Linked DNA regions of Oryzias latipes. The main gene of each other region encodes a partner of the protein of the gene in region 2 in a complex. Links are inferred from orthologs where the notes say so. Each region holds a gene or a part of one and is shown on either strand. Other genes may lie near its edges.

What was found.
Region 1: wrap53 (region 2) and gar1 share a complex: the UniProt entries of both Homo sapiens proteins name them as parts of the telomerase holoenzyme complex. The link is inferred for Oryzias latipes from reciprocal best matches to the Homo sapiens genes WRAP53 and GAR1.

What each region holds. Positions count from the first base shown.
Region 1 is NC_019868.2:3,855,149-3,860,945, forward strand, and holds the end of gar1 (H/ACA ribonucleoprotein complex subunit 1), read right to left. Parts: intron 2,889-5,797; 5' UTR 2,857-2,888; coding exon 2,634-2,856; intron 2,414-2,633; coding exon 2,259-2,413; intron 2,186-2,258; coding exon 2,126-2,185; intron 2,040-2,125; coding exon 1,913-2,039; intron 1,837-1,912; coding exon 1,750-1,836; intron 1,679-1,749; coding exon 1,668-1,678; 3' UTR 1,445-1,667; downstream 1-1,444. UniProt on the Homo sapiens protein: Required for ribosome biogenesis and telomere maintenance. Part of the H/ACA small nucleolar ribonucleoprotein (H/ACA snoRNP) complex, which catalyzes pseudouridylation of rRNA.
Region 2 is NC_019876.2:6,279,753-6,285,549, reverse strand, and holds part of wrap53 (telomerase Cajal body protein 1), read right to left. Parts: coding exon 5,616-5,797; intron 2,958-5,615; coding exon 2,746-2,957; intron 1,338-2,745; coding exon 1,234-1,337; intron 537-1,233; coding exon 393-536; intron 240-392; coding exon 23-239; 3' UTR 1-22. UniProt on the Homo sapiens protein: RNA chaperone that plays a key role in telomere maintenance and RNA localization to Cajal bodies. Specifically recognizes and binds the Cajal body box (CAB box) present in both small Cajal body RNAs (scaRNAs) and telomerase RNA template component (TERC).

The sequences.
Region 1 (5,797 bases), on a different chromosome or scaffold from region 2:
TGCAAAGCATCTATTTATAATTATGAATAAACACACTGTCAATATGATAGCATCATCTCATTACATCTTTTTTCTTATCAATTATTACTTTTTATCTGAAATGGATTTAATCTGTTTAAATTTTGGATTTCTGTTCTTTATTGTATAATTCCATGATTTCAATACTTAAAATGAATCATAAAATTAACTATAAAAAAATAATCACTGCAGTTTAACAAGAGGCCAAGTGGACTTCACTTCCTGCCGGAAGCCTTTCCTCTGTGTTGATTAGAAAATAATGAAGTCACAGGACTTTTTTGAAAGGATTTTAAGTATGTTTGATTAAAATTAACAGTAAATTTGAACAAATTGACAAACATCCAGAAAGTGAAGCTTTTAGTAAAACATGAGCAGAGATGCAGCAGGTTTTACATCTGATCCGTTTTCCTAACATTATTTAAGTTCACTATCAGAGGTTTTAAGGTGTTTCTGTAAAAAAGAAGATGGTAGAACCCAAATAACGTATAAATCCAGATCCATCTGAAACAGACGTAGCCTGTAAGTGTTACAACCCTCTGCTACATAGTGGAGGGAAAAGCAGAAACTCTTCTATTGATTGAAAGATTGTCTAAAAATGAGATTTTATTTTTTCTAGTACTGTTGGGAATTTTATGTAAAACCAGAGTTTTATAACGATCTATTTTCTGTACCATCAGTGAATGGAGTCTTTGATGAGGAAAAGCTTAGTCATCACAAACGGTCCTATTGTTGCAGCTTTTAATCCCCCTCCCAACACCTACAGAACAATTCTAATCTTTGTAGATAATCTGGGTTAGCTAGAACTGTATTTTTCATAATTGACACATCAGAAGAGAGAGAACTCCACCATCAACTGCAGCTCATGTGAAGGACGTGATGTGATGGATTTGAATGCCACTCTAGACGCTGCAGGAGGACCAAGAACCACAGAAAGGAAGGGATTCAACCATTTATACAGAATTCCTTTTTACAAAACTGATGTTTAGTGTAAAGCTGCAGGGGGTGGAAGTCCAACATTGATAGAAATCACGAGTCATGGTAAACGGAGAAATAAATGCTGCATTATCCAAAACTACTTGTAAAAAGTTAAATTTTTTAATAGTTTAACATAAAATGACTTGAAAATCAAACAAGAAAACAAAGACAGCCCAAAAATGGAATAAATGTCTAAAAAAAAAAAGGAAAAAAGAATTTTCTTTTGGTTGTCATTAAAGCGTAAATGATTGAAAATCTTTGTGGGATTTTTCAAAGCTGCAATTCAGTGAACATTTGAAATGTCGTTGCTCTCAAAGAGCTTTCCCTTCTTCATCCCTGAGCCTAAAACAGAGGGATTTTTGGAAATGACAGCTTCTCATCACTCATCCGTCTTCCAGACAGCGCAGCTGCTTTTTCAAAAGTCGGGTAAAGGAAATAAAACACACACACGTGTTTACAAAGCATTGTTTAATCAGAGCCTTAAAAAAGTGTCCATCCGTGGTTAAACCACCACAGGCTGAAATAAACCCGTTCATGAACGCACCACAGAGATGCGTCACACAAACCCTCCGAAGGAAAAGATCCAGGTCCACGGCTCTTCCAAAAAAACAGGAAGAGCCGCTGCTCCTCGTGAGGAGTCTGTCCCACGCAGATGGAGGGCCGCGCCTCCTCCTTTATCGTCCTCCTGCGAGGAAACAGCGACACAGCTCAGACGACACAAACAGCGCACAGTAGGACGCCTGACGGTGAACCCACCTCTGAATCCTCGGCCACCACCACCTCCTCTTCCTCTGAAGCCTCCTCCACCGCGTCCACCTCCGCCCCGCCCACCCCGGAAACCTCCTGAGACAGACCCGCAGGACCGTTACTCCTTTCTGATTCCACGACTGTCATGCAGTCATGTCATGTCATGCCTCACCTCCACGACCTCCTCCTCTTCCTCCACCTCGCCCGCCGCCCCGCCCTCCCCGGGGCGGACCCTTTTCCCCCGGAGGCCTGGGCAGAAACCTCTGCAGTGGGAGCAGCTTCATGGGGTCTATGTAAAACTGATAGAGAGGGGTGTGAGTGTCCCACAGACACAGCAGCATTCAGCCACACAGCAGGAGGAAGAGGAGGAGGAAGAGGCCTTTACCTTCTGCAGCTTCTTGAAGGAAGACGCCTTCATGTTTTCAGACAGTTTGACAGAAAAGTACTGCAGGACTCATAAGGAGCATGCTCTCATGCCGGTGTTTCAGACTCGCTCCGCTCACGCACCAAAAGGATACGAAGTCCCGCAGCTGCCCGAAGATCTCATCCACTTTCCCGATCTGCTCCTTGTTTTCCAGGTAGACCGGAGCGTTGAAGTAGGGGACTTTGTTCTCCTCGGTGGTACACTTGCAGACGATGTCATCTTCACAGGGATGGACGAACTCGCCCAGAGCTGCAGAGACAGGATTGAAGCAGGCGGTCACCTCGTGTCAGATCCTCTGAGGTGTGAAAGCGTTTGTGTTCCAGGCTGCAGCTGTGTCCCCGTTTACACGCGTGTGACCCCGTTATGCCAACCAGGAACCACGCTGAGAACGTGACCTCCTCTGATGACCTTCAGGACACAGCAGCTGCTCCTAACAGTCTGCATGGACGCCTCTACTGGCTGCTCTTACCGACCACATGCTCGGGGGGGCCATAGTCCTGTTGCCTGTTAAAGCCCCCTCGTCCACCTCCGCGTCCAAACCCTCCGCCTCTGCTAAAGCCGCCTCCTCCTCCTCGGTTGAAGCCTCCTCCCCCTCTGTTAAAGCCGCCTCCTCCTCGGTTAAAGCCGCCGCCTCCTCCTCGGTTAAAGCCCCCTCCTCGTCCGCCGCCTCGTCCGCCGCCTCTGAAAGACATCCTGGTTGGATCCTCGCCTCACACACAAACACCTGAGAGAGTGGGAGGGGCCAAATGAGAGGGTACATTTAATTACAATACTGCCCCTTTTATCTCGCCCACAACAGCCCCACATTCTTCAAGGGTGGTGTTCTACGTAAGTAAGTAAATCTTTATTTATATAGCACTTTTCTCAGAGAGCGACTCAAAAAGTGCTTCACAATGTTAAAACAATATAAAATCAGTAGTGAAACCCAATAAACAAACACAAGCATAGAAGTAAACAAACAAACAAGCAAAAGTGAACACAAATAAAAGTCAGCTAATAGCTCTCTTAACTTGAGCTTTAAAACACTCGACTGAGTCAATCTGGCGGAGAGACGGGGGGAGGTCGTTTTCTGCCTGAAAGGCGAGGTCTCCCCTAGTTTTAAAACGAGTCTTTGGAACACATAAAATATTTTTATCAGTGGAACTCAAGGAACGTGCAGGAGTGTAGGGAGTTAAAAGGTCAGAAATATAGTTCGGGGTTTGTCCGTGCAGGGCTCTAAAAACTAAAATCAAAATTTTAAAATCTATTCTAAATTTAACAGGAAGCCAATGTAGAGATGAAAGCAGAGGGGTGGCATGAGTGCGCTTTTTGGTTCCAGTTAAAAGCCATGCAGCATAGTTCTGGACCAGTTGGAGACGTTTAAGAGACTTTTTGTTAAAACAAGTAAAAAGAGAATTACAATAGTCTAAACGAGAGGAGATAAAAGCATGGATGATCAACTGAAGGTCAGATATGGTTAACATTGTCTTCAGTTTAGCCACATTCCTTAAAAACAGTTTTTGACCAAGAGCTTTGAGTGAGTCTAGAGACATAGATTTGTCAAACCAGACACCAAGATTCCTGAGACTGGCCTGGACAGAAGAGCTCAGTGAACCAAGGTGTCTTTTGATGGCGGGAATTTCCTCATCAGAAGCAAAAATGATTGTATCCGTCATAGTAGGGTTCGGGAGTAAATGGTTGTCATTTAACCAAACTCTAATGCTGGCCAAGCAGTCTAATAGATACGATAGATTTGCGTAATCATTTTTTCCAAATGAGCAATAAAGTTGAATGTCATCAGCATAAAGATGATACAAAATATTTGAAATTTTGCTGATGAGTCTCCCAAGGGGAATCATGTAGAGAGTGAATAGAATGGGTCCCAATACGGAACCTTGGGGAACGCCAAAAGACAGGATTTCTGCTTCTGAAGATAGAGAGTCAACACAGACCTTATAAGATCTACCACTGAAATAGGAGACGAACCAGCTTAGGACGGAACCAGATAAACCGTAGTCGTTATGAAGACGGTTGAGCATGATTTCATGGTTTACAGTCTCAATTGCAGATTTCAGGTCTAAAAGAACGAGAACAGTGTATTGACCAGAATCTGCCGCCATGAGCACATTGTTGGAAACTTTTAAGAGAGCCGTTTCAGTTGAGTGGTTCTTTTTAAAGCCAGATTGGAAAAGGTCACAAATGCTACTTTGTTCTAAGAATGACCTTAGTTTCTCCACTACAACCTCCCCCAAGATCTTAGCAGTAAAAGGAAGTTTTGAAATGGGACGGAAATAATTTGGATTAGAGTGGTCCAAGTTAGGTCTGCTCCTCCATCCACTCATGACCTCATCAGAAGGACTGAAAGGGCTGTATTTATCCCAGAGAACACACAAGTTCACGCATGTCTGAACGTAAAAAACATGTGATTTTACAAAATACTTTTGTTGTGAAATTATAATATCTGTGTATCAGATGATTAGGCAAAATGCAAGAATAGGTAAAAAAAAGATCTTTTCTAGGTTAAAAGGCCTTTATCTTGAAAAGTGGTTATATTATTGTCTGGTAAGTAAACTTCATTACCCACCATGCATTTGATTGATTTATTTATAATTACAACAAATAACATTTGTAGAGTTAGTTTAAAGTTTCACAGAGGCCGTGTTCATTTACAACCCAGCCTTGTCTCATCCTTTTTAAATACATCTTGTTAAATTGATATTATTCTCACCTAACTACTTCTTTGTACTTAAAATATTGAAGTCAAAAAAAGCAATTAAAACGTGTAATTTTGCTCGGCTTTATAATTTAATATAAGTTTATCTTGTGTTTGTATCCCCCCTGGCGTGTTCTCTGAACAATTCATGTACAGTTTATTGTTCTTTGCTGTATTTCACATGTGTTCTGAAATTAAAAAAAATAAAATAAAAAATAAAAAAGGAGGGAGAAACTCATATAAGCTAAAGGAAAATAAGGAAGACTTTCCAACAGATCATAGAGCTTTTTGTGGAGAAAGATCGACACACAGACTCAAAAAGTAAGACCAAACATGTTTTTCAATGTTTTTTGTTTTTTAAATAACATGGGAGTAAGTGGATAAAAATGTAAGTAAAATCATTTTTTTATGTTTTTGATCATTTTCACAGACAATATTTGATAACTGATTAAAGCACCAGAATTTGAAGTTGGAAAAATAACGGAAATAGTTACTAAGGGTCAAATGTGTGCTGAACACATCTGTACACTTTATTTGTTTACAGTACATTTGAATAATTTATACACAGGAAGAGAGTTCTATCCATCTATAAAAGAAATATTCTCTGTAGGACAAATATGTTCTTGTGTGTATTTTATGAGCTGTTAGCTACTGTTGGATGAAAGGTGAAATATTTAGTTTTATCATCGTAAATCTGACTCCAGAGGAGTTGGTGACTCACCAGCCATCAACCTCACCGCACATCACTGGAACGCAGTATACAAACAAACAACAGTAACAACAACTAACTATACAGGTAAACATTAACAACCTTTTTTAAAGTGCAAAATAGAGCAAAAAGTGAACAAGTGCCGCTTAAATTAGTAGGGCTGCTGCTTTAATTTTTCTGTCTTCATGTTGCGTGACAGGAACACCAACATGTCAAACTTAGCGAAGACCTT
Region 2 (5,797 bases):
AATGGAGTTGGTGAAACGTTTGTCAGTCCGTCTGCGCCGGCTCCTCCCGGCTCTCCTCAGCCGGAGCGGCGAGCGGTCCGGCCCACCACAGAGTCAGGGCGTTGTCCTGCCGCGCCTCCTGCTGGGGGGCGGCGGCTGCCGCCTCTACCTCGGTGTCCGAGGCAGAGTCGCTGTCGTCGGGCCACGGGAACTGCCGCTGGCCGCTGGACGTCACCAGGAGGGGCATGAAGGGGTGCAGGCTGCAGAAGCGGCGAGAGTGAAGAGGATCAGGAATCGGGTTTGTGTGGAAATTGATCCAATAAATAAAAAAAAAAGGCGGAGCTTAAACGCTCAAAAGCTAAAATAGGGATCGTCTAGTTTTATATAATTGTAGATAAAAAAAGAGAACATACCTGATGCCGTTGGTGCAGTCCCAGTGAGCCTGGAACCTGAGCTGAGGCTGCAGAAGTCCTTCTTCGCCATCGGGGGGCGCCGTCTGGGTGTCCCACACCGACACCCCCCCCTCCGTGTCTCCACTCAGCAGATACTTGCCCGACCTTAACCAGAGGAAAAACGCCAATGCATTTTAGAAACAGGGAGCATCAAAGGTTTGGACCCACCCCCTCTGGTCATGTGACCCTGTGTTTGAAAGAGGTGGGGGGGCATATTTAAAACAAAACATGGCTCCACTGTTGCTGTAAGTCTGTATGTAGTGGGCCCCCACTTTTCCAAAAAAAGACAGCTAAACCAGGAGAAGGTCATTTTAAAGATGACACATTGTCAATCTAAAGGCCACGCCCCCATTTTACCACCATTTTAATAACGGGATAAAAAAAGCAGACATAGTAGACCATAAATCCCACAGAGGAGTACATATATTTTTTAGATCCAACTTTAAACCCCTAAATGGACATCAAGCCCCCTAGTGGTGACACTGTGAACTGAACTGGTTCCAAGAGTGAGGAAGTGTGTAGAAGGTGAGGGCAAAAAGTGAGTGTTTTAAAAACAATCCATCAACATATTCTCACTTTTGTGACACAATCTGCAACACAAAATCTTCTAAAAGCATAAATATTCCTACAGATATTCCAAAATCTGTTAATTCAGCTGCACTTTTCTGGTGAAAATGTGCAGAAATTAACCTTTCATGGTCCAACATTTTACAGGTTTGACTGATGGCAGCTTTTATTCCAGGAACCGTTGCGCTTCTTCTTCTTCTTCAGGTCATTTTTGCAACCTGCAGGGTGAACTTACGGGTCCAGGTCAAAATAGATGCGCTGGTTTGTAGTGACGTTCCTCTTCAGAGAGAACACCACCTTCCCGGGCTCCCTCAGATCCCAGCAGAGGATCTCTGGATCCTGGTGGCACAAGGACGCAGAATCCAATCACAGCTTTAGTACGTTTGTTCTTAAGTGTTAGGGCCACACACACACAAAAAAAAGAAGCAAAATTACGAGATTTAAAGTCTTAAATTTACAGGAAAGAAAACTTGTAAAATTGAGATTTAAAGTTGTAAATTTGTAAGTAAAAAAAAAAAAATCGTAAAATTACGAGATTCAAAGACATAGATTTAAAAGAAAACACTAGTAAATTAGGAGATTTAAAGTAGTAAAATTACGAGAGAAAAAACGTGAATTTCTGAGATTTAAAGTCTTAAATTTACGGGGGGAAAAAACTCGTAAAATTATGAGATTCTAAGTCGTAAATTTGCAAATAAAATAAAAAAATCGTGAAATTACGAGATTTAAAGTCGTAGATTTAAAAGAAAACATTAACAAAATCACGAGATATAAAAGTAGTAAATTTACGAGAATTTTTTTTTTTTAGAAATTTCCGAAATTTAAGGTCTTAAATTTACGGGAAAAGAACTCATAAAATTACGAGATTCAAAGTAGTAAATTTAAGAGAAAAAACATGTTAAATTTACGAGATTCAATGTGTTAAATTTACGGAAAAAAATATATGACTTTTTTCATGTAAATTTATGAAATTAAAATTGAGCATGTTTCAATTGTATGCTCGAATTGAGCATACAGAGCAGCAGCAGAGCGGACAGACTCAACCGACACAACAGGTGAGCTGAATGTTCATTGATAACATTACAATTTTTTTTGATTTACAATTTATCAATGTTTTATTCATTGATGGGTGTCCCTGCAGGCAGATGTCCACTTCAATCCGTTCTACTTCCATAAAAACCAACACCTCTAAGTCTTTGTGACACTTCCGTCTGAGGAGGAGGAACACTTTCTGGCATTTTCAACGTTGTAATGCTAATAGAACAACACATTGGTGTTCTGATGACAGATTCATGAGGTAATGAGACAAATGCACTTCAGGGTGTGTGAATGGAAGAGAAAATAAAGTATTGGTCCTCTACACCCAAACGTGTCTCTTGAGTTCCTTATTTTACACATGAAACTCCGACACTGAACCTCGGAAAGGCGACTACACTGACAATAATCTCATTCTGAGTCGCCAAGAGGTTCAGAATATCTGTGTTTTTGAAACCTATCCAGAAATAAAACCTCACAGAACGCTCCACATATTTCATCTTCCAGCAAGGCTCCAATAAACAGGCACCTTTGAGGTTTTTTCTTGTTTAACTTTTGACTTTTTTCTTGTTAATTTACGCGTTTTAAAGTCGTAAATGTACAGCTCAGCTGAACAGGTGAGCTACAGCCAATAAGACACACACGCCTCCTCTGACTCTCCAGCTCCACAAACACCACAAAGGAAACCAGGGAGAAGCGTGAAAATGTTGACCTTGCGCCCCCCGGTGTACAGGTAGTTGCCGTCGGGGGAGAAGAGCAGGTGGGTGATGCCTCCGTGGTGCAGCGTGGGCAGCAGAGCCAGCAGGGCGCCGTCCTGACAGGAGTACAGGCCGGCGCAGCGCGAGTACGAGCCGCAGGCGTAGACCGACTGGCACGGACTGAAGGCGAAGCAGGAAATGATGCCGTTCTGGCCCCGCCTCTTCACTGCAGCGAGGACAGATCATTAAAAAATAAAATAAAACTTTTTGTCACAAATAGGCTAAAGTTATTTTTCTGCAGACGGAAAAATCTGCAGACGGACGACCAGACGTCGGCTCCGAGAAGCTTTGGTGGCCTCGTCATGAAGCTCCGGTTCCAGCAGTAGGCGCTGTTGGACGGAGAACTTTGGCTTTTCCTGCAGTTTCGCTGTTTTGATCGAATCTCTTCAATTTCTGGGTTGAAAAATGACGAACCGCCTCCTTGAATGCATTTTTTGTTCCTGCTGATTCTTCAGATCAGAGATTCTTTAAATTCAACACGTTGTGGTTTTTTTAACCACAAAAAAAAACCAGGCAGAAGCTATGGTTTCTCATGAATCTGGCATAAAACCTGCAGCAAATCCAGTTATTTCTTCAAACCTGGATCCTCTCGATTCAGCGGACGGATCTTTGCAGAATTAGCAGAATCCCGTCCAGCTTTATTTACTGTCATTAAACCTTCAGTTTCAGCCAAATTCTGCACTGAATTCTACAAAATTGTACTATTCTGCAAGTCAAATTGCTGCTCCACTTTAATGGGTTTGAATTTACCGTATCATTATTTATTTAGTTATTTTTTAATCACTTTTGTCTCAAGCCGATTTTTTCAGGGAACTTCAATGATTTTTTTTTCCTGTTCCCTACGATGAAGCGTCAGAAATCTGCACATTGGTAGAAATTTTCTGATGAAGGTCTTCATCAGGTGTTGATGGAATAAAAACAGATGTTTGCTATAAATCTCACCGCATCAAAGTCATACTTCGATCTATTGTGAAAAGGGTTCCCTGTGTTTTTTTTTTAAATTACAATTTGAACGTTTCTTGGCCTGAAACCGGCGTTGTGTTCTAGGACATAGTTTCTGCAGAGCGGCTGAAGTTCACTAGAAATTCACGCAGTCCTTATTCACGACAATTTCAATAAAGAAACGCTCAGAAATGCAGAATTTGAGCTCAGATTTCTTTACTTGAGAAAAATGCGACAAGATGGTAAAAATTAAGCCTGCACAATAAATCTAACGTTATCGCGACATCAAGATGTGCAAAACTCGGTGAAAATTGCGATAAATGCTAACCTAATGCGTTGAATGCTATAAGGTATTCAACCCCTTGTTTTCCTGTATCTCTCTCTTTATTATAGTGCCTTAACTCCTCCTCCAATGCCACAGCTGGGTCTCAAACCTGCGAGCTTCTGCACCAAAAATTCCCCATTTATTTCAATGGAGGCAGAAATCCTGGAATATCTTGAAAGGTTCAGGGATTCAGCGGTTCGCGCTCTTTCCTCACAGCAAGACACCACCCCGGTTCAAGTCCCGGCTGGGGGACCTGAACCAGAACATCAACGGGGGGCCTTTCTGTGTGGAGTTTGCATGTTCTCCCCGTGCATGGGTGGGTTTTCTCAGACATACTCGTCTACATAGGAGGCGGACATCTAACATCAAAGGGCTCCATCCGATTGGTCAAACGCATGAAGGGATTTATTTGATGCGTTAAATACTTTAAGTTGCCATGAGATTGTTTTAGCACATTTAAGGTAGCCATTTAACGCAATTTTCGCAGACTTTTGCGATGTGCGCTTCCTCCGCTGGTCGGTGAAGGCTTGGCGGCTGTTGCCATGACAACGCGTCTTCTTCTAAATGTCCGCTAACACTGACTAACTTTGCACGTGAGCACGGTACGAGCGGGATGGCGTTAGGGTCGGGCGATGTCCCCTAAATTGGCCGTTGACGATGATTGCTGTCAACCATCGGGATGGACGATGACATCGTCGGGGGGGGGGGCTGTTTTTTACATTTTTCGTTCTTGTATAACTGCTATTCGTTATTTTATTTTTTTTATTTTATTTCCCAACCAATGACTAATCTGTGATGATCCAGTTTAAACTGAAGGAAGTGACTTTAACAAAAAAAGTAACAAACAAAATAGAAAAGAAGTAGTCCGCTCCCGCACTTAACTAGTCAAGTGGACCGGCGGAGCGCGGATTTACAGCTTTGTGTTTGATGGGAAGGGAGGGGGGGGGGGTGCTCTGTTACATAGCGCTATGTGTGGGAGATTTAAGACTGCGATCCGTCCCGCAGCTCTAGGGGAACGAGCTACCGAACTCAGAACCGGGTCTAAAAGTGTGTGTCTGAGCACAGCTCGGATCGTCAGCACACACAGCGGCAGTGTGAGCTTCAAAGCAGAAATGTCGCTCAGTCCTTAGAAACCGTTCAAACAATCACGTGGATTTATGTTTCCAGTTGTGTCCCAACTAAATAAAGGCTGATGTTATTCCCACATGTTTACGTGTAGCGCCAACCAAAGCTAATGTTGTTAGCCCGTGTTAGCATACTGCTAATCCTGGCTTCTTTCCGGCTCCGTTCAGAAAAAGCATTGACCACACGGATTAAAATTCAAATGATAAGCGAACAGGTGTTTCATAATAACCATAACATTCTTAAAAGCAGGTTTAGAAGATCGTCTCGTATATTACCGAGCTGACATGTCAATGTATATAGCCGCTCAGCGCTGTTTAACATCGTTTTGTATTGAATTGTTGATGATATCGTCCATCGGCACAACCCTAGATGGCGTCTGACCGGGTGTCAAGAATGAACGTTTCGGTCCAGACGGAACCCCCCCCGACTCACCCATGGTGGGGCGCTCCTCGCAGTCTCGCCCAGGGCGTTCGGTGTGGAACACCCGCACAGTCTTCTCGAAGCCGCAGTACAGCCGCGTCCCGTCCGGACAGAAGCAGAGAGAGTGCGCCGCCGTCAGCTCGTCCAGGTGGTTGTAGGGCCGGAAAGTGGCGCGAACGTCGCCGTAGAAGGCG